2 linked regions of the Drosophila melanogaster genome follow. The protein of the gene in region 2 interacts with the protein of the main gene of each other region in a pairwise test. Each region holds a gene or a part of one and is shown on either strand. Other genes may lie near its edges.

Region 1 (16,457 bases), about 11 Mb from region 2:
ACCCTCCGCTTGGCGAATGGGAAGGATGAGTCTACAACGATTGCCGAGGTGCTATAAAAGTCCCAGCGACGAACGACAGGCGCTTCATTCGCGTCCTGGATGCCAGTTAGAAAGCTTCCTGGATGCCAGTTAGAAAGCTTCCCATTCGCGATACACACATACAGTCCAAGCCGAGGGACGTCATTCCAGCATCTACAGCATCCTCCTCGTGCGCTTTCGTCCAATAAAAATCAAAGTAATAGCAATGGAAAACCTATTCTCCGAGTGCTATACGTGCGTTTAGTGCCTTGGGAACTTTAGCCAGCATATGTGCTCCTTCATATTGTGTGGGAATCTATTGAATTTTCAGTTGTAAATTTCAAGTTGTAAATAAGTTAGCAGAGTAATAGTGCATATTTAAAGTGAATCACAAGCAACGCGATTAAGGAAATTTAAAAACTTACAAGGCGGCGATTGAATATTAAACGGAGACTTTAAAGTGAAACTTAACCACGGGGACCTGTTGAGCAAAGCAAGTGAAATTTAAAGAAAAGTGTTGAGAAGTGGAATAAATTGAACTACTAAGAGAGATTCTTTTAAAGTCATGTTTTTAATTTGTTTAAATTTTATATGTAATATACTCAAAAAAAAAGGTTAAATTTATTTTATATGCAGATGGTAAATTAATTCTGATAGACACTTCTTATAACTTCTTATAATATATAATTTCTTATAATATATAACTTCTTATAAAGGAACAATCGAACAATAAATTGAGACAATGTATCTCGTTGTTTTTATTGTTTTATCATGTTTTCTTGTTATACATTTAATCGTCCATTGTTTTCCATTTTTTCAGAAACATAAACCATGTATGGAATGCTGTATGAGAGTGTGCAGCACTACGTGCAGGAGGAGTATGGCGTGGACATTTGGCGGAAGGTGTGTCACATCATCGACTGCAAGCACAATAGCTTCAAGACGCACCAGATCTATCCGGACAAGCTGATGCCGGATATCGCCGAGGCTTTGTCCGCCTGCACGGGCGAGTCCTTCGACTTCTGCATGAACTTCTTCGGGCGCTGTTTTGTGCGATTCTTCAGCAACTTCGGCTACGACAAGATGATCCGCTCCACCGGGCGATACTTCTGCGACTTCCTGCAGTCCATCGACAACATTCACTTGATTATGCGTTTCACCTATCCCAAGATGAAGTCGCCCAGCATGCAGTTGACCAATATGGATGATAACGGAGCTGTGATCCTATACAGAAGCAGTCGCACTGGAATGTCCAAGTACCTAATTGGGCAGATGACCGAGGTGGCCCGCGAGTTTTACGGCCTGGAGATCAAGGCTTACGTGATCGAGAGCCAGAATGACATCAGTGGAGGCACTGCTGGTCCCATCAAGCTCACGGATGGTCCCTTGACCGTGATTGTGAAGTATCGTCTGGACTTTGATAACCGGGAGTACATGGCCAAGCGCGTCAATACGGAGGCCCATCCCTCACAGCTCAAAATGCCCACCGTGAAACTGGATGTGTTCCTCGATCTTTTTCCCTTCACATTTGTGCTGAACCACGACATGAAGATCACGCATGCTGGTGAGAAGATCGTTGAGACCTGGATTATGCACAATCCAGGGGCCAATCCAAAGAGCTTCATTGGCACCCACGTAATGGACTTGTTCCAATGCCGTCGTCCGAAAGACACCACTATCGACTGGGATACCCTGATCCAGATGAGAGCCGTGCTCTTTGAGTTCGAGTTGATTCGCACGGGTCACAATCGCGCTGCCTACGATGCTGTCTTAAACATGGACTTTGAGAACTATGACGAGATGGACTTAAACGAAGCCCAAACTATGGCGCTGGCCAAGGCTCAGGAGTTCAGTGAATCCCATCCGGTGGATGATGATGAATCTGCGAGAGAGGATGAGATCGACCCTGCCACTGGGGAACGTCGATCTTCCCAGGGCTTGAGGTCCATCCTTTTGAAGGGACAGATGTTCTACATCAAAGATGTGGACTCGCTGATCTTCCTGTGCAGTCCTCTAATCGAAAATCTCGATGAGCTGCATGGAATCGGTCTCTATTTGAACGATCTTAATCCACATGGACTGAGTAGAGAGCTTGTGATGGCGGGATGGCAGCACTGCTCCAAGCTGGAGATCATGTTTGAAAAGGAGGAGCAGCGATCGGATGAGCTGGAAAAATCGCTGGAGCTGGCAGATTCCTGGAAGCGGCAGGGGGATGAGCTGCTCTACTCCATGATTCCGCGGCCCATTGCCGAAAGAATGCGACTCAGCGAAGAACAGGTTTGCCAGAGTTTCGAGGAAGTGTCCGTCATCTTCCTCGAGGTGATGAACGTCTATGATGAAGGATTGAACAGCATTCAGGGAGCTATGCAGACGGTGAACACTTTGAACAAAGTATTTTCCGCTCTGGATGAGGAGATCATTTCCCCATTCGTTTACAAAGTGGAGACCGTGGGCATGGTTTACATGGCTGTTTCGGGTGCTCCTGATGTGAATCCCCTGCACGCCGAACACGCCTGCGATTTGGCCTTAAGGGTGATGAAAAAGTTCAAGGCTCACGATATGGGGGACGTGGCTATTCGAGTTGGCATCAATTCGGGACCTGTGGTGGCTGGCGTTGTGGGCCAAAAGGTTCCTCGATACTGTCTGTTTGGGGACACCGTTAACACCGCCTCGCGAATGGAGAGCAGCAGTGATCCCTGGAAGATCCAGCTATCGAAGTACACCGGCGATAAAGTGCGCCAAGTGGGCTACAAAGTGGAGTCGCGTGGTACGGTCCAGGTCAAAGGCAAGGGCGACATGGAGACCTACTGGCTGCTGGAGGGTCCCGAGGGCTAGGAATAGAAAAATATTAAATGTATCTTTATTTATAGCACCATGTTCTGATTGTACGGCACCTGTGGCTCTCTTAATTTGTTGCAATAAAAGAGAATTTAGCTCTGCTCCTCTGACTTTTTGTGAAAGTATAAATAATACCTATTTCCTGCTGGTTTTGGGACAAACTTAATTTGTTTAATAATACCAGCTATCTATGTAGACAATAGACTCTTATTGAATACACCCTTTATAAGCTCAAGTTCTTATAATATCCTCCATCCTGCCTTTTCAATTACCAACTCCTGCCATTTCCCGCAGACAACCCTCATTTCGGAAAATCCATTTTTAATAACTTTTATGGGCGGTTTGCGTGTCACTTTGCACACCATCATCTCCAACCCACGACGGACCATCGTAAGCCCATTCAAACATACAGTAACCTCCGTTCGCCTCTTTCTTATATAAATTAAATTAAGTCACTCTGCGTGTCCTTAGCTCGAACGCCTGGACGTTGGACACTTAATTCCGGTGCAATATTGAAAATAACTACACTGAACAAATAATAAGACTTTGAAAATGGTTAAAAAAAAATAAAAATAAGAATTTTGAAAATATTCTTGTATTTTCTTAGTTTAATAAAAAAATATTTTTTGTCACAAAAGTTGATATCAGAACTTTTGTGTGTTGAGGGCCATCGTCATTAGTTTTTACTCCGTTAAGAGCTGTTTTTGTTTGATTATATTGAGTTATTTTCTTCGGGACCCAATGTACATAAATATAATATTTTTGTAGTTATGCAACGCGTGCCTGTCGCATCTGTAATTGATGGCTTTTTGAGTGGTAGAAGTATCTCCTTCTTTTATTCAGCCGGGCATATTATCGTCCTCTTAGTCGAATAATGGTCTGTCCATAAAATTGTCAACGTTTATTTAATAGACTAGCCCTAAAATCCGTTTCGTTTAAGTGGGACAAAGGCTTTTTGTTCGATGCTGTGAAATCCCTTTTAAATTGCTTTAAAACAACACATCAAATATGTGCAGGATTCAGGCTAACATGTGTATGTACATCTTTTTGTATATATAACTGCGTGAAAATGGAAAAGCATTAAGCACAGAGCCACAAAACCATTCCTCCATCGGGGAAATGGCAAACGGCCAAAGCGAAAAACTCTGTTACAATGATACATTTGACAGACGGTTTTCGATACTTCAGGGCTTGGGATATACATTCAAAGTACTCGAGTATTTCTAAATTGTAAGAAATGGTTCAGAAAATTAGAACAGCGTTTTATACAGAGAATACAATTGGAAAGAAATTATCTAAAGGAAACTAAAAGTTTGAAATTTTAACATTTGTATAAGCCACATATCTATTATAACTGACTAACCTAGTCGTCAGTCTATTACTAGGTGTTATTCAGCCCTGGTAAAGACCCAAAGGACAATACTTTCCCAGGACACCGCACACATATATATGTACATCGATGTGGGGGAGTGAGCCCATAAAAGGAAATGAACGGGGAGAAAAATGACTCCTTCGGTTGTGTGACAATGTTTTACTGTTTCGGAAGGAGACAAAGTGGCAATTGTGGCAAAGAGCATTGACTGCCGATGATGATCACGATGGTCAAACAGAGAAGTGCGTGTCGAAGCGCAGGCACGTAGGTCCTAAGTGGGCCGGAAATACAGCTCCAACTGCAACTTGGCTAGTGGGTGGGCTATAAAAGGCCTGACCGCCACAGGGGCACGCTTCAGTCGACCGACATCGTCCCGGCGAAAAGGGAAAGCTCCAGGGGAAACCGACGGTACCGACGGAACCGACGGATGCGAAAGAGCCGACAGACTCACGAAGCTCGTCTGTCAGAGGAAATCATGAAGCAAAAGCAAATCAGGCAGCCAGAAGCCAAGGAAGCAGCGACAGGCGGCAAAACAAATTTAGTGTAACAATAGCAACTGCCGACGACGCAACACGGAGTACGGAAAAGTGAGAGTTTGCCGTGGAGTGCGCGTATATATATGTACCCCGACTTTACGCATCCGGGGATGCTGTGCGTGTGCAGGCGTATATGCCTTCCTTAAATTATAAATAAGCGACTGGCAAATGCCGCGTGGATATAATTAAAACTCTTTCTGAGGCACAGACAAACGACAAGCGGCTCCGATGCTGGAGAACTTCATGCGATTCATCTAGTGGATTGGAACGAGCCGGAAAGCAATATAAGGTAGCAGGGATTGCTGGGGATATAATAAGCTAATTTCACGGTTCACTAATCAAAGAGATATATCGAGAGAAATAAGGGGATTTTCATACATCCTTAAGAAGGCAGTTCTTTAAAGGATTAGGAAGCAATATGAGAAGCAGAGGAACTACATCATTTAAGTTAAAACTTAAAGTTAAAGTTGCAACTGAGTTGGCCACAAATTATTACACTATAGTCCATTTAACTTTAGCATCCAATCCATTATTTATCAATTTATATAGATTAGGGTTCTCCCTGCCACTTTCAAGCTACCATAAATTACGAGCGATTAAATCTACGTATTGTTAACTTGAGTATAAAGGAGCAGAAGTTAAGCATTGCCTTTATGTTCTTTTTGACTACGTGGATTCCCTGACCATTAATCAAACGTTAGCATTTTGAAACAGCATTTTTATCCACTTTTTACGACCTTCGGCTTGTCGGAAATTTGCATGTTTTTTGTCAAAATTAAATACACTAAACTCAGGAAAGATGTTCGAGAATTTGTGGCTCAGTTAGTTAGTCTGAGTAGAAAAAAAATGAAAAACTGGCGTTGCCACCAGCGAATTACCGGCAATAGGAAACGGAAATAAGTTGAGCACAATGAGCTATGTTCCTTTCGCGAAGAACGTGACAGATTTGAAAGACCTTGATGTGGGAAATAGGAGGATTTCCACCGCGTGTCTGCCACATGAACTCAAATTAAACTGTCGGGGCAATAAATCAAATGCTACGGAGGAAAAGCATTGGGTGTTTTTGAAGGCTAGATAAGAGGATATACTCTGACGGCTTAAACATACACCAAATGTATGTCACCTTACATTAATTACGTGTTTAATGGATTTTAAATGCATGTCTCTAAAAATAGGAAACAGATTTCACGCATAAGAACAGCGACTGAATACAATTTAATTTTCACTCTAAGTAGTTACTCAAGACTATATCAGCGCAAGACTTTTTTATGTAGCATCCTAGCCTACTACCAATCACTTAAGTTGTGTACGAGTTTGTTGGCCTAATCCCTGACCCAACGCAACGAAATTGTCCTAAATCCTCCGGGGTACGAACACAGTTTACCTAATTACCAGCTCAGAGCGATGGAAAAACTTTGGCTAACCACACCCCTAAATATGTGACTGCCAACTTTGTTTCGTTACAGGATAAACTTTTACGAAGGCAATTTCGACGATAGGCAGGACTTCACAGGACCAAGGACATTCACATCCTGCCCCATCATGTACGGAATGCTGTACGAGAGCGTGCAGCACTATATCCAGCAGGAGTATGGCATGGAGACCTGGCGAAAGGTCTGCCAGATTGTCGACTGCAAGCATCAGAGCTTCAAGACACATCAGATCTATCCGGACAAGCTGATGCCGGACTTTGCGGCAGCCCTGTCCGCCAGCACGGGCGAGTCCTTCGACTTCTGCATGAACTTCTTCGGGCGCTGTTTTGTGCGATTCTTCAGCAACTTCGGCTACGACAAGATGATCCGCTCCACAGGGCGATACTTCTGCGACTTCCTGCAGTCCATCGACAACATTCACGTGCAGATGCGTTTCACCTATCCCAAGATGAAGTCGCCCAGCATGCAGTTGACCAACATGGATGACGATGGGGCTGTGATCCTGTACCGCAGCGGCCGAACTGGCATGTCCAAGTACCTGATTGGCCAGATGACCGAGGTGGCCAAGGAGTTCTACGGCCTAGACATGACTGCCTATGTCCTGGAGAGCCAAAATGACATATGCGGTGGCACAGCCGGTCCCATCAAGCTTACGGAGGGTCCTCTGACCGTGATTGTCAAGTATCGGCTGGACTTCGATAATCGCGATTATATGGCCAAGCGGGTCAATGTCATCGCGCATCCTTCGCAGCTGAAGATGCCGTCGGTGGACCTGAATGTGTTCCTCGAGCTGTTTCCCTTCACCATTGTGCTGGATCACGACATGAAAATCACACTTGCGGGCGAGAAGATTGTCGAGACGTGGATTCTGCATAATCCTGGAGTGAACCCAAAGACCTTTATTGGCAGTCACATATTGGAGCGGTTCAAGTGCCGTCGTCCCAAGGACACTCAGATCCAATGGGAGACCATTCTGCAAATGCGTACAGTTCTCTTCGAGTTTGAGCTCATCCGTACGGGTCACAATCGTGCCGCCTATGATGCGGCCTTGAACTTTGACTTTGAAAACTTTGATGAAGCCAGCAGCCTGAACGAGGCGCAGGCCATGGCTTTGGCCAGTGCCAAGGAGTTTAGTGCGGAGAACGCCAAGGAAGAGGCAGCAGCGGCAGCCACCTCCAAGGACGAAATCGATCCCGCCACGGGACAGAGACGCCATTCGGTGGGCCTCCGATCTATCCTGTTGAAGGGACAAATGTTCTATATCAAAGATGTGGACTCGCTGATCTTCCTGTGCAGTCCTCTAATCGAAAATCTCGATGAGCTGCATGGAATCGGTCTCTATTTGAACGATCTTAATCCGCATGGACTGAGTAGAGAGCTTGTGATGGCGGGATGGCAGCACTGCTCCAAGCTGGAGATAATGTTTGAGAAGGAGGAGCAGCGATCGGATGAGCTGGAAAAGTCGCTGGAACTGGCAGATTCCTGGAAGCGGCAGGGAGATGAGCTACTGTATTCCATGATACCGCGACCCATTGCCGAGCGAATGAGAAAGAGCGAGGAGCACGTGTGTCAGAGTTTCGAGGAGGTATCCGTCATTTTCATCGAGGTAATGAATATCTATGACAGTGGGTCCAACAACATCCAGGATGCCATGCAGGCGGTGACCACCTTAAACAAAGTGTTTTCGGCATTGGACGAAGAGATCATTTCCCCGTTTGTTTACAAAGTGGAGACCGTGGGCATGGTTTACATGGCTGTTTCGGGTGCTCCTGATGTGAATCCCCTGCATGCCGAACACGCCTGCGATTTGGCCTTAAGGGTGATGAAGAAGGTCAAAGCCCATGCTCTTCCCGGGGTGGCTATACGGGTGGGCATTAACTCGGGACCCGTCGTCGCCGGCGTGGTTGGGATGAAGGTTCCTCGATACTGTCTCTTTGGAGACACCGTTAACACCGCCTCGCGAATGGAGAGCAGCAGCGATCCCTGGATGATCCAGCTGTCCAACTATACTGCGCTGAAGGTGCAAAAGGTGGGCTATAAGGTTGAAGCGCGGGGATTTGTCAAGGTCAAGGGCAAGGGCGAGATGGAGACCTACTGGCTTTTGGAGGGACCAGAGTAGAACTGGAGACTTGTTTGTCTTGGAAAATCCAGGAATATCACCACTATGGTATTGAAATATAAAAAACATATTTTGAGACAGAAAATCTTGTAACCCTTTGGAAATAATCAGGCTCGAAAACCTCTTATATCTAATGTATCTAATAACTTTTTGGTAATAGTTAACGAACTTTTAATCCCCTGTAAAGTATATGTGGATCACTATAAAAATAAATTCAAGACACATTGTATCTAGAAATATTGTTTTCGTGGGAGTGGCGCGAAACCAACCTGAAATCTGACTAAGATCTTCATAAGCGTGTTTCGATAATAGGTAAGTAATCGAAGCTATCGAAATCGGTTCCAGCATTGCCTTGATCAGCTGTTTGAATTTTATAGCTTGGAAGATAATTTTCAAGCTTATGCTTTCTCAGTAAGGATTAAGGATGCTTCGATTCAATTTAATCGTGGCAGTTTGCGAGAATTTCGGAATCGGCATCAGAGGCGATCTACCATGGCGCATTAAGTAAGTTGGTAACAAGGATTGAACCGCAGCTAAAGCTTTTGTACCATCAGATCTGAGCTGAAGTACTTCAGCCGCACCACCAAGCGAACAAGTGATCCCACCAAGCAAAATGCCGTGGTAATGGGCAGGAAAACCTACTTCGGAGTGCCGGAAAGCAAGAGGCCTCTTCCCGATCGGCTGAACATAGTGCTGAGCACCACACTTCAGGAAAGTGATCTGCCCAAGGGAGTACTATTGTGCCCCAATCTCGAGACGGCCATGAAGATCCTTGAGGAGCAGAACGAAGTGGAGAACATTTGGATTGTGGGCGGTAGTGGAGTCTACGAGGAGGCCATGGCCTCGCCAAGGTGTCACCGGCTGTACATTACCAAAATAATGCAGAAGTTCGATTGCGACACCTTTTTCCCCGCGATCCCTGACAGCTTTCGAGAGGTCGCGCCCGATTCCGACATGCCACTGGGTGTGCAGGAGGAGAATGGCATTAAATTCGAGTACAAGATTTTGGAGAAACACTCATAATAAAATAATACACTGATTTATTTGCCTTGCGCATCTTCTACTCCCTTGGCCGCCAGCATCAGCTCGTATAGTTGGACTACTTGGTCGTCTTTCAACATTTCTACAGTCTTGGGGTCAATCTCTTCGCCCAGCTCTCCCTTGGGCTTGCCCCGAATCCCTAGTTGTTGGGTGATTGTGGACGCATATCGCTGCAATGGAAGATTTGCTTAGTATGGCGCCTTTTTGTTTATTACGTAAAACTTACGGCCCACTCTGTCATAAAGAGCTGTGCCTCCATGGGATTGCACTTGAGGTGTCGCCGGAACTCGTCCCGCACATAGTTATCGCCCAGAGCACGAAGTTCCGCTGGAAGTCCTACGGAGTACAGAAGTTTAGTTGAAATGCATGCAATTTATAGTAATAGGGAATTTTTCATCTTACCTCTGTGCAGTCGCAAGATCGTTTTGTACAGCAGTCGGACCCTCTGAGGGTGGGTCAGTTGGCTCATCAAAATTCTGGACATCCTGAGTTCATATCATATAACATACTAATACTATACTATTTAGCAGCCGGCTAAAAACTAAATACGAGCGAATAACAACTGTTTTGTCGCAGCCAGTGTTGGCTAACGTCAAATTGAGTTGGCAGGTGGCAACGTATTAAAAGTTTGGCGCGCATTTGAATTGTCACCTTTAAAAGTTCAATGCTATTTTCATATTATATTTAAGTTAGGCACTTCGAATTGAACCACACTTCCGCAAACCAAATAATGTAAAAAGAAAATGTTTTTTTCAAATGGTTTTTTTTTATCAATCCCCAAGCGATTTCAAGCATTTTAAAACTGCAGGTCTTTTTATATAATGATTTATTTGTGGCATGGTTTGTATATATATAATCATCACATGTGCAGTGTAGGTTCAATCTGTCGTGGATTCATCCCTTGGGGGTAAATTATAAATAAAAGAACATCTCGTATGGAAAATGAGCTCTGTTTCAGAAAACAAACCAATAAATGACATACACACACGCTCTGCACCAACTTTGGCTAACTATTGCACGCCTTTCTCTCACTACTATACGCCTAATTACACCAAGCACCAAACAGAAGGTGGCGGAGGGTACACAACATTGTTGTCATCGTCGTCGTTTTGAACAGAAGAACGTTTTAACAATCAAGTTTTCTAGTTTTGCTATTGCGGCGCGGCAGCAACAGGCGCCGCTCGATTCGCTGGCTCCTCATCCTGTCCATCAGCCGCAATCTCTTCCGGTAGCAGGGGCTGACCCTCTCCGCCCCAAGGAAATCCGCCAGGTCGATCCTCAGCAGCCGCCTGGAAGTTGCGTTCGATGTGCTCATTGAAGAGACGTTTCCTAAGGACAACAAGTCGTTATTGCAAAAGTTATATCCCAATTCAAAGTAAACTCACAAAAAGTAGGGGGTTTTGATCAGTCTGTAGCCGTTGGACAGTGTAGGATAGACGTCCTCCAGCACGTAGTAGATGTGGCCAACACCCATGCCGATGACATCCACCCACACGGTGTTTCCCAGAATCATGGAGCAGCAGAGGAGCACCCACGGAAGGTACGGCGCCTGGAAGTTAAGCACCCCGAAGAAATTCATTGGCACCAGTGGATTGCGTCGTGACCACACATAGACCAGCATTAATGTGAAGGCCTGGCCCAGGAACAACAGGTTGACGAAGATTCCGAAGAAGGTCATTAGCACGCCGCCAAAGATGAACATCATGACAAAGTCGGAGCTGCGTCCGCGGAAAGATCCGTCCTCCAACATTCGACAATATCGATATGTAAACACCATATTGAAAAAGAAACTGATGCCTATTGTGCCAAAGTACAGGAATGTGGTGGCCAAGCGCCAGATCTGGAACTTGCGCACAATCAGCGTGGGATTGAAGTAGAGCTGCAGCGGCGACACCAGGTCCAGGTGCTTAAAAGTTGGCAAAAAATATAATCGAAGATAATACACGTACACGTCATCCGCGATTTAGAACGCACTACGGGATACACTTACCACCGCCAAGGTGGTCAGCACGCAGACCGTGGTGTAGGCTCGTGTGACCACCGGGATCTCCAGGTAGAACTGCCGCAGGGCATTCATGGCGGCTCCTCCTCCAACGTTGGACTCAAAGTGTGCAGCTTGGCAAGTGGGTTGCGATTGTATCCTTTGGACTCTTCGCTTCTTCACTGTTTATTCACCTACAACCAGCGGCGGACTATCTCTTTTTGGTAGTCCTCTCACCGGATGTTGTGCACTCCAGGATTGAGACGTGTTAATGGATAGGGAACAGCGCTCGGGCGATGGAAAATAAATGGAACGCTAGCTTTTATTTTTATGACCAAGGTTAGTGATGGTACAAATACTAGTGACACTGGCGCCAGATATCGATAAGCCGTAATCGTGACACGAAACTTTAAATTAATTTTATTTATGTGGTTAACAGAAGGAAGAACTTAAGATTGTGTCGTCTATCGAAGAGTAGTTCATCCAATATTTGAATGGAAATAATATTTATAATAACAGATAAGTTCAATATGATTTTCACTTTGAAATCCATAAGCTACTATATGATCAGAATGAATTTCTATACTATTATATATTGTATTTCCATATCTTCAATGGGTTTATACTTAAACTGGAAATTAATCAAATTTTCTTTTGAGTTTTTCTACTGCTCAATTGATTTTCCCGGATTTCAAATATATCACTTTCTTTTTCAGAGTTGGGGGCTATATTAATTGTAACATCTCTCAAATTTATTGCACTTGTTTCTTAATATCTAAAGTCTATTCTAGGTTGACTACACTAAAAATTGCACTGCGTTTTGTCTAGCTAAAAAATGAACTAAAACAATGAATTAGATTTGCTAAATTCGAGCGGGCGGCGAAAGGACTGCTCCAGGTTGTGCAGCCGCTGCTCCAGGTCATTCATCGAGTTGCGGAGGGCGTGGCCCCGGGGACGCAGTGAAATCTGCGGTGACTGCTGCATGAGGTCGTCCTTGACCCCGGAGAAGGAGTGGCGCACGCAGGAGCGCTTCTCGAACCGCGTGTTCTGGTAGTGGGGATGGTGACTGGGGTGCTGCTGGTGCTGGCGGTGCTCACAATTGGCACTGCGACAGTTATGCGCCACCAGTGGCTCGTCCGTCTTCAGAGAGTCCTCATAGGTGTCACTGTTGCAATGAGATTTCAAATGTTAAGAAGGCAATCCGAAATAAAGCACACTCTTCTACCCACCTGCTGTCCGTATTTGGCTGGCGCAGCTCCAAGTGGGCCTTCGCATGTCTGGGGCATAAAACTTCCGTGTTGTTGCCGCGCTTAGAGCCTCCGTGCTGAAAGGAATCCGGCGAGGTCTCGTACAGCTCGCGGCTGCTCAGGAACTCCACACCAGAGTCCTGGCCCGTCGAGTGAAGTGAGAACAGCGAGGTTTCGTAATTGTTACTGTTGTGATGATAGGTTGCAGTTTAGTATGTTAAGTCTAGTTCATAACAATTGTGCCAAATTTGAAACCATATTAAATATAATCTATAGACTTACAGATTGTTAACGGGCTGACAGGCATTGTACTTCAGTACGAACGGAGTGCTCCCGACGCCCACAGCTCCATCGCCCCCACTCGTCACCGCCGCAGCCTTGGCAATGGACTTGGGAAGAGGAACGTCTATGTACTCGCGCTTTTGCTGTCGCTGTTGCCTGTTTCGGGGATGATGGCAATTAGTGTCCAGAATGGAAACACGTTTGACTAGACGCGGTCTTGACCACGGCCATTCACTCACTCGTTCAGGTACTGATGATGCTGCTGCTGTGTGGCCATCGCCTGCTGCTGGTGGTGATGGTGCAGCTGCTGCTCCAGTTTCTCGGTGGCGGTGGCCGTAGACTGCGTTTGGGCCGAGGAGCAGACGGACTCGGGCATGAAGGCACTGGTGGGTCGTTGGCTGCCCGTGCTGCCCTTGCTACAGCGCTGTGTGTGCCGCTGCTGCCGCTGACGGCGCTGCTTCTGGCCACGAGGAGATCCGATGCCAGCGATGGTATAGGTGAGACCGGCATCGGAGGCGGAGAAATCACGCTGAGACCAGAGACGTCTGCAAGAGACACGGGAAGAATTTGTAGTAGTTTTAGACGGCTCATATCAATCGTTTAAATCATCATTAAGCTCTAGTATAGTTACTTGTTTTCATTTTCAATATGTAAATTTATAGTTAAACCTGATCGTAGTTTCCTTTCAATATAACAACATAACTTCGAACATATTATTTATTTTTCTCTGTGCAGGATGAGCTGAGCTGATGAGATGACATCCCATTTGATTGGCTTTCCCATTTGGGATGTAGTTGCAGCGATGTCACACGATCTTCATCTAATTGCCTCAAGTTGCTATTGCTGCATTGTTGCATTTGATGTTGTGTTTGTTGCTTTTTACCGTTATAATTTAATCGGACAGGAAAGGCCCAATGCCAGCCGGTTTATGCAGACTCAGTGGCATCAAGCAACTTGGCCACGATCATGGCCATTAGCAGTAGCAGCAGCAGCAGCAGCAGCAGCAGCAACAAACACACCAACAGCAGCAGCGGCAGCAACAACAACGTTTGCAATTGACTTAAGATTTATTATCGGGCCTTTAGCTTAGGCTAAAACTATGGCTAACATGAAATGCATCTATGAGCTACATTTGAGCGCCCAGTAAGCAGTCTTTCGGTTGCAGTTGCAGTTGCACTTGCATGACACTCGTGCACTCGTCATTCATACCGTTTTTGGCGCATGCATACGTAGCAGCAGGCGGCTATCAGTGCACCCAGGCTGATCAGCGCAAGCAGAACCACCGTCACAAACTCCAATCCTCCCATGAAACTGGACGCGGAGGCGTGTGCAGGTCGGGCCAACTGCCCAAACTCGGCCAGCTCGAGGATGCGGGGCATGGGCTTGCCGCCGTCGAGTTTCTGCTGCTGCAGTTGCAGTGCGTCCAGTTGGAGGCCAGCCAGGGCGCTGAAAGAAGCAATTCAAGGCCATTAATTCGCATGGCAGTTCTGGGTCAATCGATTTTAGATGCCGCCCGGGGCCGGGAAGGGAGTCGGTGTGGGGAATGGGAGAAAACTTACTCCTGCAGTTGCTCCATTTCCATAATGGAATTCGTGTGCGGATCGACGGCATAGATATAGGCATTGGTGCTGCAAATGGAGAGGGTAGAGAACCTGTTAGGTGATGACACTGCAGTGTTTTGATGGCAACTAATGGCCAATTATGTTATGCAATGCGGTCAAAAGCTGCACATAATAATCAAATATGAGAGTTTAAACCTATACCTATAACTTGTATCTGTATCTGGTACTTAAAATAATTGGTTAGAAAGCATGAACGGATTGTTGGCAAGTTATCGATCCATTAATCTATATCTAACCATCTATCTAAATTAACATTTAAATTGGTGGTGATTTTATAAAGACGTTTATTGGTAGTAAATCTTCTTATGGTCTAAGCACCATGCCTAAATACTGCTTTTACACTGGCAGACTATCATTACATGGGGTATTGTTTTATTAAGACTACAATCGATATATAGTTACTTACGCAGGCTCTAGCCCTCCAGAATACGGCTCCAATAGTCTGACACGTACATCCTTGCCAATGGCATCGCTTAGTGCCTCCATTAGGCCCTCAATGCGACGCTCCACCTCGACAGGCATTCCGGCCACCACCAGACGCACCTGCTTGGCCTCATTGATGATATAGACGAACACGTTGACGATGCCGCTTCTGCCATCGTCTGCACCCATTCGATCTGTGGCCTTCACATCGAATCCGTAGATGTGTTCGGTGCGGGAAAGTTCTCCAAGCAGGCGAATATTGCCCGATAGCTCGTCGATGCCAAACAGGCGAGCGGGCTCGTTTAGAAGTCGATAGCGTATCTCGGCGTTTAGCCCCTCATCCAGATCGTTGGCCTCCACTCGGGTCACGGGGTATCCAAAGCTGGCACTTTGCGGTAGAACCGCCACAATCGGTTGCCCATTGCCTCGGAACTTGGGTGCATTATCGTTTTCATCCGCAATGTGGACCAAAATTCGACACTCGTTTAGCGACAGACCCTCTATTCGTTCGTCTACCACTGGGTACGAGACCCTGGCGTAGTTCCTAGCTTCCCGACTCAATCGATCCGCTCGAATCCTAAGTTGGTATCGGGATATGTGCTCCCGATCGAAGGGCTTGAGGGCATATAAAAGCATATTCTTGGCATCATATTCAAATGGCGGATGAGCATCCGTTTCATCCAAGCCCTCCTCCAACCACAAAGACCAGCGATAGTTCTCGGGATTAAGACCAGCGCTTAGGTTCAAGCGCATCACCTCAATGGGTGCTTCATTGTTCTCCGTGAGCTTAACCTCATAATAAGCGTGCTGGAATACGGTGACATTTGCTGGAGGTTCTGGTTTGGGAGTCGATTTTGGAGGATCCGTAACTGCCTGCCCCTGGAGGTTCACAATTACAATGGCTGTCGCGGATAAAGCTGGACTGCCCACATCTGAGGCAATCACAGACACATTCAGATGCTCATAGTCGTTATAGCCATTTATACGTGATATTGTGGAGATGGTACCATCCCGGGAATCGATTTGGAAGAGTGGTGCTTGCATTTCCTGATGACGAATGGAGTACAAAACCAGTCCATTGCCATTACCCACATTATCCTTATCGATGGCCGTGAGTTGCCTCACAAATGTGCCAGGCTGAGTACTTCGATCCAGATATGCCTTATACACCGGCAACATCAACGTGCGATCTGCCACACTTGGGATGAACTTCACCGCCTTCGTTTGATCGTCGTAGCCAATGAACTCCGGCCGATTGTCGTTGATGTCTAGGACATTAACTTCCACATCCACGCTGCTGGACATTCGCTGCATCACAGGGGCATTGTCCGTGGCTATCACTTGGAAGCTGTACTTGTCCTTCAGCTCCCGGTCGAGCTGCCCGCCGATCTTCAGAACTCCCGAGGCAGGTTTGATGGTAAATGGCAGATGGGAATCACTGAGCGTATACGTTATATTAGCATTCTCTCCAAAGTCCATGTCTATGGCGGTTAGCTGACCCAGCACACTGTCCTTATACTCCCCTTCTGGGGTATCGAAGCTATA
Region 2 (16,594 bases):
ACTTTGTATTATTCGTAAATTTTTTAAATTTAGTTTCCTTATTATATTTAAATACCTTTGTTACATATCATTTTAAAAAATCAACTAAGAAACTGATTGGTAAAAGGATCTTTCTTTAGAAGTGGTCCTTATTCCTCACCTATTCCTTGCATTGACGGATAATAATCGTCTTGGGAGCCCTCAACAAATCAATCAAACTCTTTTTGGATACCATTTTCACATCGACAATAAGATATTCAATCCAGAGCCTCGACATGGTGATATTCGCCATTTCGGGTCACAAAGGTGGCAAGGAGCGGAGCCAGAGTTGCCGAGAGGCAAGTGGGAGTGGCAGGCGAAGGGCGAAAATACACGAAAAGGGGGAAAATAACAAGCAGCTGCGTGGGCGGCGCTCAAAGAAAAGAGCAATAAAACGGGGGAGCCGAAGAAAGGGCCAAAAAGAAATTAACAAAGTTGGGGCACAAAACAGAACGCAAAACACCAAGTGTACGGTTATTAAATTTTGCAAGCAATTGACTTGACCAAAAGAAAATTGGAAGTGGCGGTAAGTTGCTGGCTGGGTGGGTGTGCGGCGATAATCGATAAATGTTGTGGAAATTGTAGCGCTGGGAAATTGTTACTCATTTTGCAGCTGATGGCAGAAACTCGCTAAAAGTGAACAGACGATGCGGTTCAGGTTTCAATGGCAGTCCGTTGGTCGAGGTCAGGACCAAAAACAGATGGATTTCTATAAAGTGCGGTGGAAGCCATTAACCCAGTGATTAAGTATGCAAATGAGAACTTCTAGACATTTTACTTTCGCTTCTTCTGTAAATTGGAGAAAATAAACAAGATTTTGAAGTTTATTCGGCTTACATTGCTTCGACTGGTTGCTTGCTTGGCTGCTTTCTGAGTGCTTGGATCTCAGACACCGCTGCGTATGCGTTATATACTTTTGGTAGTAACTTTCTCGTAATTGACACCGAAACAGCTTTTGGGCTCGGGCCCAATTGACTAAGCACACAAAGGATAGATCGAATTCGGGTAGTTGCTTTTCTATAATTTTTAGCAGCTTTTTATATTTTCTTAACTGCTGTCGCTGTTAGTCGCACACACACACACACACATGAGCACTCTCTCTCGCACACTCACACAATCACTGAGATTTATGTAACACACAGCTGGGGAACCGAAAAAACTGTGCGAACTGGCCAAAACTAAAATACTGTATTCGTTACTAAGCGTTTTTCGAGTTTATTGGGCTGCCATTTTGGTTTTTGTTTTTTGGAAAAAAACCTCGGTCTTAAAATTCTTTGCTCTTTTTTCTCTGTTTTGATTTGTATTTGTTGGCCTTTCTGATAGAATCGGCGGGCGCTTCTGGTTGCCCAAACTTGCACGCTCAACTGTCTACGATGTACTGTGCTAACGGTATTTACGTCGCTCCAGCCAACAGGGCCGAAATACATGGCCAAAAGAGAGAGCGACCAGCTCTCTCTTTTTCGCTCTTTCACGGCAAACATTTATTTTAGTCCGGCGCTTTTAACAGAGCCTCTGCTTCTTTACTAAAATTATTTTTATAATATTTGACTCAAATTCATGAGCAATCGGTAATTGTAACAAAAAGTGTCTATTATTTTTTTGAACTCACCTACAAATGTTAAATGCTTAAGACGGCAAAAAAATAGCACATAAAAGAGCCAAATAAATTAGCTTGACACAGATTATTGTATATATATATTTTAGTTTACATATTTATTTGAATTTCTGAATATTTTCCATGGCTAACTTATAAAGTTATACTACTTTAAAACGACGATGGACAACAAAAACATCCTCGCTGTTCGTAACGTGTGTCCCATTTTTTCGCCTTTTCCAACAATCTCTGTAAAAGTGTGTTGCATACTGTTAGGGGCGGCTGTCGTGTCTAAAAGGCTCGCTGTGAACTTCAAAACTTAGGAACGATTGTTGTTGCCATCAAACTTTCACTATTCACAATTTAAGGCTCTCTGGCTCGCCTCTTTCCGTGAACTTGCGAAGTGCGCGGGCGCAGAGAGACGGCTTATGTTCTTCTTTTTAGCGGATGGCAGGCCTTTCTGGCCACTTGGGGGCTTGTTTTCGGTTTTCAATGTTAAGTGCGTAGGAGGCGACACGAGTGAGAGTGAGCGAGAGGGAGGTAGGGGCGGACCAGGAGCAACGGGGCGAATGCGCAACGCCAGCGATAACGGCCACTGGAGACGACAACAGAGAGACAGACAGGCGAAAAGGGGGCGAGGGATGGAGAGGAGGCTTAAAGGGCGTGTGGCAAAGCTGAGCGGACACACCTGGCTATTTTCACGTCGACAATTCTGGCTTTTTGCCAATGGCAGGAAATGCTAATTATTCACAATAGAATTAGCGAATTAAGCAGAAAGCAGAGAGGATCCTAAGTCTACTTAACATACACATATATACTAGCCATTTAATTCGTCGGCCAAAAGGGCTTGACTTTGATATCTTTTCGTCATGATCGCTGTAAAATTTGTATCGATCAATCAACTAATATCCTATAGTTGCAATCAGAGCAAATTGTTGTATGCTTGCTGAAGACGATCTATGAGTTTAAACATTTAAGAACTAATAAAAGGGGATAACAATTGATATTGTTTTGATTCATATTTTCTATAATATACTTATATTACTATATGTATTTATAATTTTGTAGAAAAGAAAAAAGTTTTGTATCAATTAACATAGAACGTTTGTACGTTTGTTTATACTATTATCATATATTAGTCAGTGACTAAGTGTCTTGAAAGCTTCTAGTTAAACCTACTCTATTTTCGAAAATTAAAACATGTGGATAGCTTTCTAATCGTACTCCAAGTAACTTTGAGATATTTCGCCACGACGTAGGTCAGGGTGCGCCGGTTAGTATGCAGGGCGTTTTGCTTACGCTTTCCAGCCACTCGTGCGTATACACAACGTACTTTTCGTTTGGAATTGTGCGGCAGAGGGGCAGGCGTCACACTCGCAAACAAACAAACATCGCAACATTCAAACATTTTGTGTCAATCTGTCAGTCACTCAAGCAACGAGTCCTTTCCCACTTTTAAGCGCTTTAAACTTTGCCCGCTGTCGATTAAGACAAATCGATAAGGGAAAACGTTTCCCTTTTATATGTATAATATATATTATCGTAGGATTGCTAAAACACTTGGGCATTTATGCGTGCAGAGAAAGAGATTTGAGTTTTATTTTCAGTATTAAATGCCGAATAGTTTCGCAATTGGATTAGGAAATACTTGATTAGTTGGCTTATGAGCTTATTTCGCTATATCTATCCCGATCTATACAGTTTTCTACACTAAGTCTAATGAAAATTTTTAATAGTGTAGCTTCGCTCCAAAATATTCTCTTTATTATTGGTCACATAGGAAGCACAATACAAGGATACGATGAATACAAGGATGGGCCACCGCTTAACAATGGAATCCGGTTGTCGGGGAGGGAAAGTCCTGCGAGCAGGAACACATCCTTATACATATGTATGTATGGGTGTGCGTATGAGTGAGTTTGGCGTTAACACGTTAAGGGTAAATCAATAAACGCGCAGAACGGAAGTTATCAACACCTGTAAGGGATAATTGACGTGATATTAAATGGTATGTTGCCACAGCAGGTGGCAGCATTGCCGATTTCATTAAACACATAAGCCCACTATATTGCATTAAATTATGCGATAATTGATCAATTTTAAAGGATTATATATAATGTTAAGACGTTCATTTCTGTAGCAATATAAGCAAAATGAAGAAGACTTTTATACTAAGCCGTGGAAAAACATTTGGTTCACTATACAAAGTTTAACATGCTCAGATGGTAATCGACAACTAAAGTGTTTTATACTCTCCGATACTATGTTCTGGTAATATGACATCGTGGACAGCTATGTGCTATCCATATTCCATATACTATTTATGACAATTTATTGAAAGTCTATAATAATTGCTGTACAGAATTTCCAATCAGGAATAGTTGACACAAGATTCAAAGCTTGATACTTCCAGTATTTGCATCGTAAAGCATGAAATTACGGAGTTGAGGGTTATCTTCAGATGGTGGATCTTGCTAAGATTTCCTGCTGGGGACAACATCGCTCATCAGACTAGTAGAACGAGTATCCTTGTTTCCATTTCTTATTTGTGCAAAATGGTTACAAGGACAACCCGATTATGAGAATCTATAAACGACTGTGCGCTGGGTTAGATCAGCTAACACTTTGACCTTACTGGGTCCACAATCAGTTGGGATTACGGGGATGCGAAGGAGGCGGAGGCAGCGGAGGATGAGGACATGGCCCGGAGGATGAGCAGACAAAGCGTTGACAATGGCCCAAACAAAAGAAACACAAAACAGACGAGCAGATAATGGACGTGACGATATCGGGGCAGCAAGGGAGCGGAAACCGCGAGCAATGGCAAAATGTATATACATAGCTTGTATGGTCGGAATAAGCCCCATTGTTTTATGCATGCAAACAAAAACATCCGAAGGAATGGGGAGCACCTTTCGCGAAATGCGAGTGACGCCCTACGGCTGCATCTGCAAGGATACTTCCCGCTTTAGCTTCAAGCTAAAGGGCTGTCAATCCGGCATGGGATACCTTCTGTTGGAGTTCAAAGATATCGACATTTTCCGCCAAATGCAATCAGTCTTAATCATCAATGAGTAGTAGAAAAGTGACACGAACACGCTATTAGCACCTGGTAACCTACGCATGTCTTTCAGCACTACATGGAATAGATACATCTGTATTAACTGCAGTAATGCCAACAGAAAGAGTACTATTGCCTCAAAATACCCGTTTAAAATATAAAAGGTTACATAAAAATAAAAAAGCATTTGTGTGCCTGCAACTGACTAAGTAGACAATCAATCAAAGTTCTAGAAAAATTTAGAAAAGTTAGATTGCAACTGAGGTTTCACTACCTTAAAAAGGGCTCTATAGACGCCCCCATTTGTTGCAATGCATTTAAGCTAAGTGGTTCTTACGACTGCCTTTATGCAAGGCACTTTCTAGATAGAATACATAATACATACATAGAATACATAACTTTCGATGAAAGCAATCTGAAAGTTTCGAAGTACCCTGAGTTTAAATAATTTTAATTTGATGGTTTGCTTTTGGGGTCTTCAATAAAAATTCAACTAAGTTATAAATTACAGAACTAATAGTAGTATGAAACTGCAGCAGTCGAGGTCCTTAGGGAGCACTACAGCTCCGAGTGGGCGTACTCGTCGTGCGTTGAGCTCTTCTCCTTGGGCACGATAAAGAGGCCCTCCGCCGTGGTCCAGCGCGTTCCGTGCTGCGGCTTGTGGACGCCAACGATTTCCATTTGGCCGGAGATGGGTCTGCCATAGGAGCGGCCGGACATGCCCAGGTACATGCCGGTGTCGATGTGGCGCAGCCTAACGTGGGCACTGCGCATCCAGTTCTCGTTGGAGCAGACCACCTCCCAGTGGTCGCCGGTGTCGCCGAGTCCATCCGTTCCGTACGCGGACACCTCCTGCTCGCCTGAGAGCGGCGACGAAAAGTGGTGCGAGTGCAGGTTCTTCTTGGTGGACAGGTGCTCCAGTCGCACGGTGGATCCGCAGGCGATGGGCTCGCCCCTTTCACAAAGCTCGCCGGTCTGCGCCTTGATCACCCAGTGGCTGTTCACGTCCTCCTTCTGCTCCACGCCCGTCACCGACTGCTGCCCGGAACCAGATCCGTACTTGACGTCGTGGGAGTGCAGGCGGAAGGCGTAGTCCGAGTTGAGCAGCTTCAGGATGGAGCCGCAGGTGACCACGTTGGATTCGGTGGCTGTGTTCAGCAGGGTCAAGATAGAATATAAGATAAGCATTAACTATGGCCACGGAAGGTTCAGAAAGAGGGGCGGCCAATCAGAGAAGACCACATAGACGCGACTTTGTTTCAGGTCGCCACTTACCGGCTCCCCTGGAAATGCTGCCTACCAGCGCCAGTCCTGTAAGAAGTAGTATGTGCTGCATCGTGTCCTGTTCTAGTTATCGTATCCTAGTCCGTGGACCTAAGTCAGTCAATCTGTACCGGCAATTACGGTTGAAATCAGCGTTGCACACGCAAACAATTGCTATTTTTGACGGTGCTGGTGTGACCAGGCTGCGGTAAAATCCAAATTATGGACTCACCGAAAAAAATAAACATAATACTATAACAAACTCCATATTGCTGTAACTTATTCCATTAACGGAAAATAGCTTAATGTATATAATAAATGTTGAATAAAGGAAAAATATAATTAGTCTTTTCAGAGAGCAGATTACGAATTTGACGTCACAGATTTATTGATACGCCTAGAAACTTATTTCTTGATTGTTTTAGAATTAAATGAACGTTATATCGTGAAGGAAATAATTAGTTATTAATAATTAGCCTAAAAACTAATTGCACCAAAAGGAACTAGTTCGATGAGCGACAATTTGTTGGTATTTTCTGTGCACCAGACAAGTACGGTCACTCTGCGAAATTGCAAGGGAATTTTCTCCAATAAAAGGCAAGAAAACTGAGGAAAATTGAAATTAAAGAAAAATTAATGGCACACAAGCGCCTGTTCGTCTACGCGGTGCTACTGGTGATATGTTATTTGGTTGGCGTGACATGGGTATGATGACTGGCCACATCCCGTGACTGCCCCACTAATCCGCTTTCATTTCCCCCTCAAACAATCAACAAAGGCTGAGACTGCGGCGCAGACATTCCCAGCGATCGGCACCAACAGCAACAACAACAGCAATGCTCAACCTGCTCCTGTGCCTGCACCTGCAGCTCCAGCGGCTGCAGCTCCACTAGCCAAGCAAGTTTCAGCTCCCACTGCCGCCCCTCCGGCCAAGGTCATCGGCCAGCCTGTGCTCGCTGCTCCAGGCAAAAATTCTTCCAATTCCAGCAGCACAACTGAGTGGTAAGTGGCACTGCACTGGCAGAAATTGCCGCATCTGGAAACTTAAAGTCTAGTCCATTTGAGCAGTTTTAAAGCTGCAATCCCTTTCGTCCCACTGGATTCTACTACTTTAAATTCAATTTACGTTGTTTGCGTAGGCTTCAAAGAATCATAGTTCATGTATTGCACAAATGTATTCACTTTTCAGCTACTAAATGTATAAGGCATCTTGGTATCAATGAGCTTAATTTGTGATTCTGTTAGGTTGGAGTTCTTAACAACCTGCTACACGTTACCATTTCAGCGTCTGTGCCGGTGCCCTGCTGCCCCGTTTGGATGCCAATGGCAAGGAGCTGCCCATATGCGCCGAGTGCAAGTGCTCCCATGTGGCGAGAAATACGACGCTGATAAAGGTGAGTCAATTCGAGTGCTCAAAAGCCGTCCGTACTTAACCAGCTCTCTCCCCCATCCAGGTCGTGGTCATTATTGTGATTTGGATCATCTCCATTTTAGTAATATACATGCTCTTCCTGATGTGCCTGGACCCGTTGCTGAACAAGCGAGTGAAGGCGAACTACCAGGAGCACACCAACGAAGATGTACATAACAAGCTTTCTAGATACAAGGGCATTCAGTATAGCCTCCTAGTTACAGCCCAAGGCGAAGATGATGAAGATGACGATGTTGATGCCGAAGCGGCTCAACTAGTTGGCAATAAAGAAGCACCACTCTTTTGAATAGATTTTAATTTCCACAACCACCTTTGTTTCATTTTGCGTTATAGATTTTGTTGACTTTCTAACCCACACCGTCACTTCATTAAGACAGTAACTAACACGGCCAGATCTTGGATCACCTCGACTAATTCCACATTTTTCCACCCTTTTCTAACCAGGATGAACCAACGCCGCCCCTGCCAGCCGTCAACAACCAGGAGCTCAGTGCCAGAGCCAATGTCCTCAATCGTGTGGGCCACCAGCAGGACAAGTGGAAGCGGCAGGTGCGCGAGCAGAGACGCCACATCTACGACAGGCATACCATGCTAAACTAACAAGGGGTTCGGTTTGCAGCTGGCGGAGATTAGGAGGCGCATGGGCGACTTAAGACACGTATTCCAAGCAGTTATCCTTTGCGAAATTCCCCTTTGGATCAAATTGATTATCTGTATATTTAGCCAGATTTTATGTTAATTAAAATAAACCAAAATATGTTTGTCAGGAGTGTTTGCATATTAATTAATAAGTTGAATGCCGGGAGGAATAACCAACAAATCCACTAAAATAAAACTTTTAATGATAATTGATGGTTATAATTTGGGAAAATAAGGAACGTAAGACCGTAATGGTGAGTCCAAGTTAGATTTGGAAACTCCCTTGGGCTTCTTAGTTTGACGCCTACTTTTTGATTCCATCAGTAGAGATTAACGAAAGAATAACTCGAAGATAGTTTCTATCACACAATAACCATAACTTTAAACGTATTATTTTCAGCCACATTTATTTTTAATAAATCATGTAACCACATATCCTTAGACAAGTGTTTTTTTTTAATGCAAAACCGCCGAGCTAGACCTAAACTAAGTTCATTCAGAATCGGAGGCTCTAGTATCCCTTTATGGTTTCGGCGAATGTCCAGTTTTCGTTAACTTGGAAGGGCCCCTCCACGCCGCATCCGTTGACGCTGCACACGCCCACAGTGTATTGGGAAATATTACGAGTATCGCGGTAGTAAAGCACCTCCATGCATGTGCGGATCTAGAATATAAGAAAATGGTAGGGTAGTTAAATAATGAAGAGTCCCCCCATCAGAGTTCGAAATTCCTTACCAGTTCGGAAGCTTCTACGGCGGTAAAGTCCCTGTCCTTGGGCTTCTTCTCACGGACCAGCGGAACGGCCAAATGGCGGGCAAAACCAGTGGCCACCACGTAGTCCTCGTAGGATCGTCCACGGAGATCCACGTTGGCCAGGTACGGAGTCCCCTCGTTGTCCACGCCGCCGACAACCACGTCAATGTAGAGGGGGTTCATCCGCGAACGACGGTTGTAGAGCACACGGGTCATCCAACTGGCCAAGGACTTGGGCTTCATCTCGATGTTGTCGTCGCAGCACTGGTCCTCGATCATCTTCTGGTCGATGTTGCGCTTGATGGACTGGATGTCAGCGAAGTCGCCGCTCCCGCCGAGCAGGATGTTCTTGTTGACCTTAAAGACGCGCTCAATGTTTTGGTAGCGGGCCATGGATCCGTAAGACACCAGGGTGTCGGCGGCCAGCATCACTCCTGAATCATAGCGAATGCCAAGCACGGAAGTGCCCGTGGTGCTGGAAGCACTGCGGAATAGTAAAAGGAGTGTAAACAAGTGGTACATCTGCATATAAACATATCCGCAGTTCCTACGTGCTGTGCTTGGTTCCATAGGGTCCCATTGTGGTCAGCTCCCGCGGTAGCTGCTGGACCGGCGTCTGTCCGCCCGTGAAGTTGTAGAACTCGCCGGGAGCGGGTCCGTTCTGCCACATGGGCTGCGCTAGGCTGTTGTAGTTGTTCAACATGCTAATTTATTCGGAGACTGGAATAACGCGAGACTTTGAAATGTTTGTCGCTGCCGGAGAATGACGGGCACAAATAAAATCAAGAGTCAGCGCAGTGTGAACAGACTTTAGGCGGGCGGCAATACCAGTATCGGCAACCGGTAGCTAAAAATACCAGACATACCAAAGATGAATCCACTATTAGCTTGGTCACACCGTTTTACATGTGTTAAATTAAATTAATTTGAAGTTTAATTGTGAACTTTTTAACATTTTATTAGATGTTGATGTTAAAAGTAATGTAAAACAGTTAACACCACGCTGCCTATACTGAATTTGTTTTTTTACTTTTGTCTTTATAATCCTCGTTGATAATACAAATCAAGGAGAAGAAAGATAAGAAATTAAAGAACTTTTCACTCAATTAGGATTAAGACTCATGTATACCCGTTGCTTCTACGGTATTTACTACTCCTTGAAACTAAATATATGTTTAGTTAATATATAATGACCATTTGCTTTACTTCATTTTAAGCCGTTCAATGGTCATTAAAGTATAAGAATCGAGAGCAATAAATGTAAATGACGTTTGGAAATTATCCTGGTCAATCTACAAATCCAATATCTCCCTTCTCTCCCTTCGAACACGATTCTCCATAGCTTTTTAAGCGGAATAAGGTTCTTTTGCTAAAACTTCTGCTTTTATTCATATTGGTGGGAAAAACGCACATGTTCCGGATTGTTGTTTTTGGGAACCCAACGAAGTTTTTTATCATAACATTTGATCATATAAATTAATAATAAAGAATTATAAATTTGAAGACATATAAATACATTTTTATTGCCAGTATACCAGTACACAATTTGTAAATATATAGGTATGTGCATAATGCTTCCGAGGGGAATGTTTAGGTTGCTGCCGCATCTTTCAGATGCCATAATACAGTCGATAATATCAGTTGCTTTATTGAGCTATGCTAAAAACAATGACGGGGAGACCCGCTCTTTAACACGATACATATACGAATAAGGATACCCTACGCAAAACTAAGAGCTACATGTCACGGCCAACGATTGATGCTAATTCTATGGGGTTAAAGCTTCTAGTCCTTGCAGCAGCAGTAAACATTGTCGCTAGAGCTAGCTGGGGTTGTGGGCGTGGTGCCGCCCTTGAGGGGCTTGCTGTAGGAATGGGGACCCCGCATGAAGACCTCGATGAGCTGACAATGCGATCTGCCAGATACGGAACGGTTAATAAGCGATTTATTGAAGTTAAAGGTACAACCAACTCACCGCATGGTTATGTCCAGGTCGGTCACCACCTCTCCATCACAGTTCCAGCTGGAAAACTCCGTCGAGGAGGAGTGGGCGGTCATTTCTTCAGGCGGTGTAATCGGCTGACAAGACCCTGCCAAGCTGTAGTCCTCCTCGCTGGCAGAAAAAGTTCTGAACCGGAATTCCCTTGTGCGATATACCTCTACAAAAGGCAAATTGCGCTGCAATGGGAAAATGTTTTTAAATATTTATTGTTTTCTACAAAATTTAATTGTATCCTTTTATTTTTCATTTATATTTTTACAGTAAAAGATACCATCGCATTCACTAGATAAAACATTATATTGTTGAAACTGGTCAAGTATATACTTTATATGGATGCCACCAGAGCGGCTAGTAGATCTTCGTAAAATAACCTTTCTGTCACAGATTTCCCTCGCTTCAATCCGAGCTAGATGGGGTTCGGTTTTGGGTTTTTGGCTTTTAGGATAGAAAGCACTAAGCTCAGCTTGTAGGCTTAGGGGATTTGGCAATTAAAGATGCAGTTAAAATGTTATGGAAATGTTATTTCAAAGGAAATGGACGCCTCTTATAGGAAAGGTGTTCTTTTGGATGTGAAAGTTGAATAGTTGTAATAGTTAGTACTCACAATATCACCACTTCTGCCCGCCGTGTTGAGCAGAAAACGCACGTTGTTGAGCAGTGAGGTCTTTTTCACGAGAATCAGGTCCAGGCAACCATCACCCAGATGACTGTAACGGGAGATGCCATTGGGACTCCTGGCGCAGGCGCAGGTTATGTTCGCGCCGCAGATCATAAAGAAATTGCCCCGCACAACCTTCCACTGATCGTTGCCGAGGTTCCTCATTGATGAAATGGAGCCAGTGGGCAATCGAAGATTGCCTGGACGCGGACGAGGCCTCAGGAGTGCTGCTTCACTGGCGGCTAGATGAGAGTCCTCTGTTTCTACCTGCTGATTGCGCTCTGCCTCTTTAGATTCCTCTTGGATGAACAATGAGGATCGCTGTTCCTGTATGCTGCTGGCGAAGCTGCAGCGCTGGCAATTGGCATAGCAGACGGATGGCACTGACTCTCCCAGCGAGCACACACTATCCGGACTCTGCGGAATGTCCTCCAGCGGCGTGGTCAGTAGAAGATCGGGCTCTTCTAACATTCTCAGTTCGGCGTCATAGCCGCGATTATTCAGGAAGGCCTTGACGCCACTGTACTCGTACCGGCGCGGTCCCATCCAGCGGTAGTTCTCGCTCTGGGCTGCCACATCGCCCAGGTACCCGTAGCTCAGGACACTGGCACAGAATCTGAGCAGGGACTGCCCATTGCTCACACTGCACACATCCAATCCCCGATGCTGGCCCAGAATCACATGGATAGCCGCTGTCCTCACATCCGCCGTGCCGTGCATACTATACGCAATGGTGTCGGTGCTGCCAGCGGGAATCACACCCACTGGCAGAGCCGGTCTTGGAATGTATGGTGGCCGCTGTTCGTCCAGTCCCAACTCTCGCATTTGACGGAATATCAGTCCGTTGATGACCTCTGCTACGGTGCCATCGCCTCCGACACAGCAAACCGCATCGTATACTCCCAGATCATGGCTCAGAAGTATGTCCTTCACTTGGTTTGCCCTCTGAGTGGTGATACACGTGGCGTCTACGCCGGCAAGCTGGAAAATAGGTCTCACATGGCGCTCATAGGTCTGAGCTCCCGCCTTGCGACCTCCATAGGGGTTTATAAAGACCAAAAGGCGGCGCACTCGCATCCGGGTGGGGGAGGAGCTATGCAGACGGATTTGCAGCTCCTGGTCCCACTGCCTCACTATGTAGGGATCCGAGTTGAAGAAGGTGAGTCTCCTTAGCTCCCACCGATTGCAATCCGTTTGGGACTTGCTCAGCCTCATGGCATAGTTGATGGTCAGGTATTGACTGGTAGGCTTCCCTTGAGCAACATCGCCACTGCATCCGGAACTGCGTTCCGAGCCTGGCGGCGAAGGCGGTTTGAGGGAGCTCGCCTTGGTGTCCCCGCTCCTTATGCTAACCACATCGTCCAGGTGGAGCACGTGGCTTTGTGGTCCATAAGAGCAGATTCCGCCTGGTTGAGCTGGCGAGTCCGGCGGCAACGGTGCCTTGGCCTCGTTTCCTTGGGGCGATTGCTTGATCTTCTGCAGACGCTCCCAAACCAACTGCTGTCCGTGAAGCAGGACCCTGTAGCTCTTCTTCTTAAGCTGGAAGTTGTTCAGCAGGACATTGTGGTCGGAGGCGGAGCAGGGCGTGAACTTGGAGGCACTCGTAGAGCTAATGGGGGCTACAAAATCCCCGGCCGAGGTGGACGACCGCCCTGCTGGCTGCTTGGTCTGCGTCATCTTGACTGGCCCACGTCTCCGTCTCCCGCTATGGCGTCCGCTTTGTCGGTACTAAGAGAAGAAAACAGGTTTCAGTTAGATATACAGTGAAACATCATCAGCACAAACTCAAAAAGCAACCATATCCTTAGTTTGGACCCGTTAGAAAAGGGGTTCAAACCTTTCATATTTTGGCGCACATGACCAAATATGATTTCTTTACTTCTTTGTGTTTATTAAGTTCAAGTTATGGTTTAATCAAGCCTGACTGTACTTAAAATAGCAGTAACAAATGAAAGAGTGGAGGAGGCAGCGTCGTACTTACGACGCTCCATTCTCTTACCCTTTGATGTTCGGCCTTTGTGACTTTAGCAGTTCACGTAGAGGTGGGCCTTTCAACTCTTAATTACTTACTGAGAGGTGTCGATGATGAAAATTAAACGGAAAACGCAGAGGGGACTGTGACAGACTGAATCAACTGCATGGAGTCATTTTCAAACCTCTGCCTCGGTCCTCCGCATCTGATGGTTTTTGTCATTAGCATAGACTTGTGAATATTTTTGAACGAAAACACGGAAAGTCGAAAAAATAAAATGTTCATTCGATGAGTTTATGGTTCAATGACCATAAAGTTATCAAAAGGCGATGAAACAGCACTGTAACTACGAGATAACGACTCATTTTTAGAATAATGATGAATAATTGATTTGGCCATTGGTAAAAGTTTAATAGCAAAGCCAATTGTGCAACTGTATCATAAACAACCAGCTGGAAAAATATCGCAACAAACTCACTGCACACATATTTTTTTAGCCTGAGCTTAAAGTATTTAAATGGTAAGTTCGCTTATGACTCATAAACCGATAAAAAATAATCGCTGGTAATTAAAATGCCAGAAATCCCGATAAGACTCCAATGAACAAGCGTTGCAATCATAAATTAATATAACGAAAAACATTTTAAGGATTGGCTTCTACAAAAATAAATCGTTTATGAACCTCAATTAAATCGCGTCCAATTCCCTTTGCAAAATAGGTTTTGAAATACTTCTCAATGGGTTCTATTTGCCTTTGTTGATGGGTTTTCAATGGCAGATAATTGGACATGTTCAGAAATTATTGCTATACATTTTATACGTATGTACATTGCGCGATTCGTGTTCATAGCTCGCTGAACTGAGCAACCAGGAAAATGCGCAAGTGTTAGAAACTGGTTTAATTTGTATGCCACCCAATGGGAGTGGAAAACAAAAAGTACAATGCAGTAGATAGCAGTTCATAGCAATGAGTTGAATGAACTCTTGATTGCAGTTTTGGGCAGAGAAAAGCGTTCGCCAGTTATAAATAAACAAAGATCGAGATGAACGTGGCAGAAGCAAAAGTTATAAAATACTTCTTAAAGTACTCAACAACTGCAGTGTGTATCATAGCGCACTTAGCCAGAACCAAACTGGTTCTGAACTCAATTCACGTTCCGATCGTAAACTTTACGGCACCTCATTTACTAACAATGTACAATTGCTTTGAACTTGGCCAAAGCGAAAGAAAGCCAGCAAGCTCCAATCATCTCAAAACAATGGGAAAGACATCTCCGAGTAAAGTTCTTGAACAAATGAATCTCTATATTTCACAAAAGCGGAGAACAGTGCCAAAAACACCTTCAAAAATGACAAACGTATGCAAATTACTCTTTAGTTAGCTGACTAGCGAGGCAGACTGTATTGTTGCTTATTAGAGAGTCGCACGCATTTCAGTGCCCGAAACCAGAACTCGCACCAACAAGCCAACAAAGCCCGTCTCACGCGGCGTATGAGCAACGAATCGCCCCAAGGTCAACGACGATCACAGACGGCACCCAGAGCACGCAAAATCGCTTTCAGAATCGGATTCAAACAAAAAAAAAGCGGACCGGGAAGCTGTAGCTGTGGCACTTGGAAAACGGGTTCTGCCCGGTCGAGTTGCGTGCAGCTGGCGACCTTCGCCTTGAATCGCTCGAGAGATCTTGGCCAGACTGCAATAACCGGCTGTTGACCATAATCTGGCATTAAAACAAACCACCTCGCCCCTTGCCCACATTTGCACCCGAGCTGCAGGCTGGCCAAAGTCGCATTTCCTAGCTTTGTATCTTGACATTGACGGAGGAGAACCGCTTTTGAGTTAGCTCTGCTAATATGGCTAGCCATATTGTTTGTTTAATTAATTTTGGGCAGCTACTTAAGATATATTGCTTGCAAAAACAGAAAACTAGGCTTTAGTAGTATATTAGCCTTGGCATTGAATAAAACTGCAATTAGCCATAATGGTAATAATAGTTTTATTCGTTTTTATTTGTTTCTTTCTGGCTAATTAGCTGGCTTTGCTTGAGAATTAATTTGTTTGTGGCATTATCTGTGGACCTTTCCAAGTTTGATTTGTATAGTATCAAATTTTATTTATATATCTAGATCATAAATATACCTCATGAATTTGGCTTACGTTCAGCCCTCACACTATTCATAGAACTTGGTTATTGGCATACTTTTCTCTTTTGAATGCCAGAATTTAATAAACTTTTAATTCTACACTTTCGATGGAATAACCAGAGCATGTTCTTTATAATTTAGAAACAAATCAACAACAAAATACCCTCATATGAATTTGAAGTAAACAAATACTCATCTCCCACTTCTGAGAGCAAATCATTCAAAAAACAAATGTGATGAACTCAAATGCCACTAAACCGAGAACAGAGAAGCAAACAAAAAACATAGGGCACCTCGAGCAATGCGTTGATTTATACATTTAATAAAATATTTACATATGATAGTACCCAATTGAGGTCGGTACAAATTTGAATGCCATAAAGAAGCGGAACCCGGGGAATCGAAACAATTTCTCCTGGGCTATAATAGAATAAGAAATGTTTCTTAATAAAAGCAGGCCTTTTTGTGTTGCTGATTCATTATGATTAGCGTCAACTAATTGCATGCTGCTAATTGCTGCAAGCACGAAAGCGATCTGTTGGAACAAAGTGTCATCCTAAATGAGTGCTAAGTGGTCAACGATTTGTATTTTGTACTTATTTCGTGAAAACCCCTCGTTTTTCGCCCTCTAATCTGTACTGGCTTATCGGCAACTCAAACAATAACAATCGAGTGCTTTCGTACCCATTGTGAATGTATAGAATAGGGCTATATCTCGCCAATTTCTACCCGCCTCATGACACGTTGTGCAAAACTGGACAGCACTACAGGTACAAACGTTTTTTTAGTATATGCTATACAATATACATGCTATGTGCTATACAAGGTTCGATAAGATTGATGACATCAAGTCTCGGTTAACTTGCAACGTGGGAGTTAGTGGGCCGGATTTTACGTACATATGTATATCAGAGCTCTGAAGGCCTAATCAATACTTTCGTTTATCTATAGACCGAGTTGTTTATAATTTAAATGCCTGTACCATAAACAGAACTAATAGAACTGTGTCCGATTTCTTTTAACTTTGAGCTCGTTGACTCACGCCAACATCTAAGAA

What was found.
Region 1: the proteins of CG11999 (region 2) and Dhfr interact in a two-hybrid assay, tested with the Drosophila melanogaster proteins (one large-scale study listed by BioGRID).

Annotation. Positions count from the first base shown.
Region 1 is NT_033777.3:16,472,521-16,488,977, forward strand, and holds Dhfr (dihydrofolate reductase), read left to right. Parts: upstream 1-8,646; 5' UTR 8,647-8,740; coding exon 8,741-8,820; intron 8,821-8,870; coding exon 8,871-9,339; 3' UTR 9,340-9,356; downstream 9,357-16,457. Other genes in the region: Gyc89Da (guanylyl cyclase at 89Da), read left to right, coding at 850-2,853; Gyc89Db (guanylyl cyclase at 89Db), read left to right, coding at 6,307-8,316; Sdhaf3 (succinate dehydrogenase assembly factor 3), read right to left, coding at 9,357-9,527, 9,584-9,693, 9,760-9,841; Der-2 (Derlin-2), read right to left, coding at 10,509-10,686, 10,743-11,263, 11,348-11,434; Cad89D (cadherin 89D), read right to left, coding at 12,179-12,503, 12,568-12,771, 12,868-13,023, 13,107-13,412, 14,077-14,313, 14,427-14,495, 14,896-16,457. UniProt on the Drosophila melanogaster protein: By interacting with vestigial (vg), may control genes involved in DNA replication. Key enzyme in folate metabolism. Catalyzes an essential reaction for de novo glycine and purine synthesis, and for DNA precursor synthesis.
Region 2 is NT_033777.3:5,348,613-5,365,206, forward strand, and holds CG11999 (uncharacterized protein), read right to left. Parts: upstream 6,136-16,594; 5' UTR 6,010-6,135; coding exon 5,949-6,009; intron 5,822-5,948; coding exon 5,232-5,821; 3' UTR 5,105-5,231; downstream 1-5,104. Other genes in the region: CG1161 (uncharacterized protein), read left to right, coding at 6,573-6,641, 6,715-6,938, 7,222-7,330, 7,391-7,516, 7,813-7,968; Prosbeta7 (proteasome beta7 subunit), read right to left, coding at 8,519-8,671, 8,743-9,244, 9,312-9,463; Cerk (ceramide kinase), read right to left, coding at 10,546-10,675, 10,736-10,938, 11,367-13,097.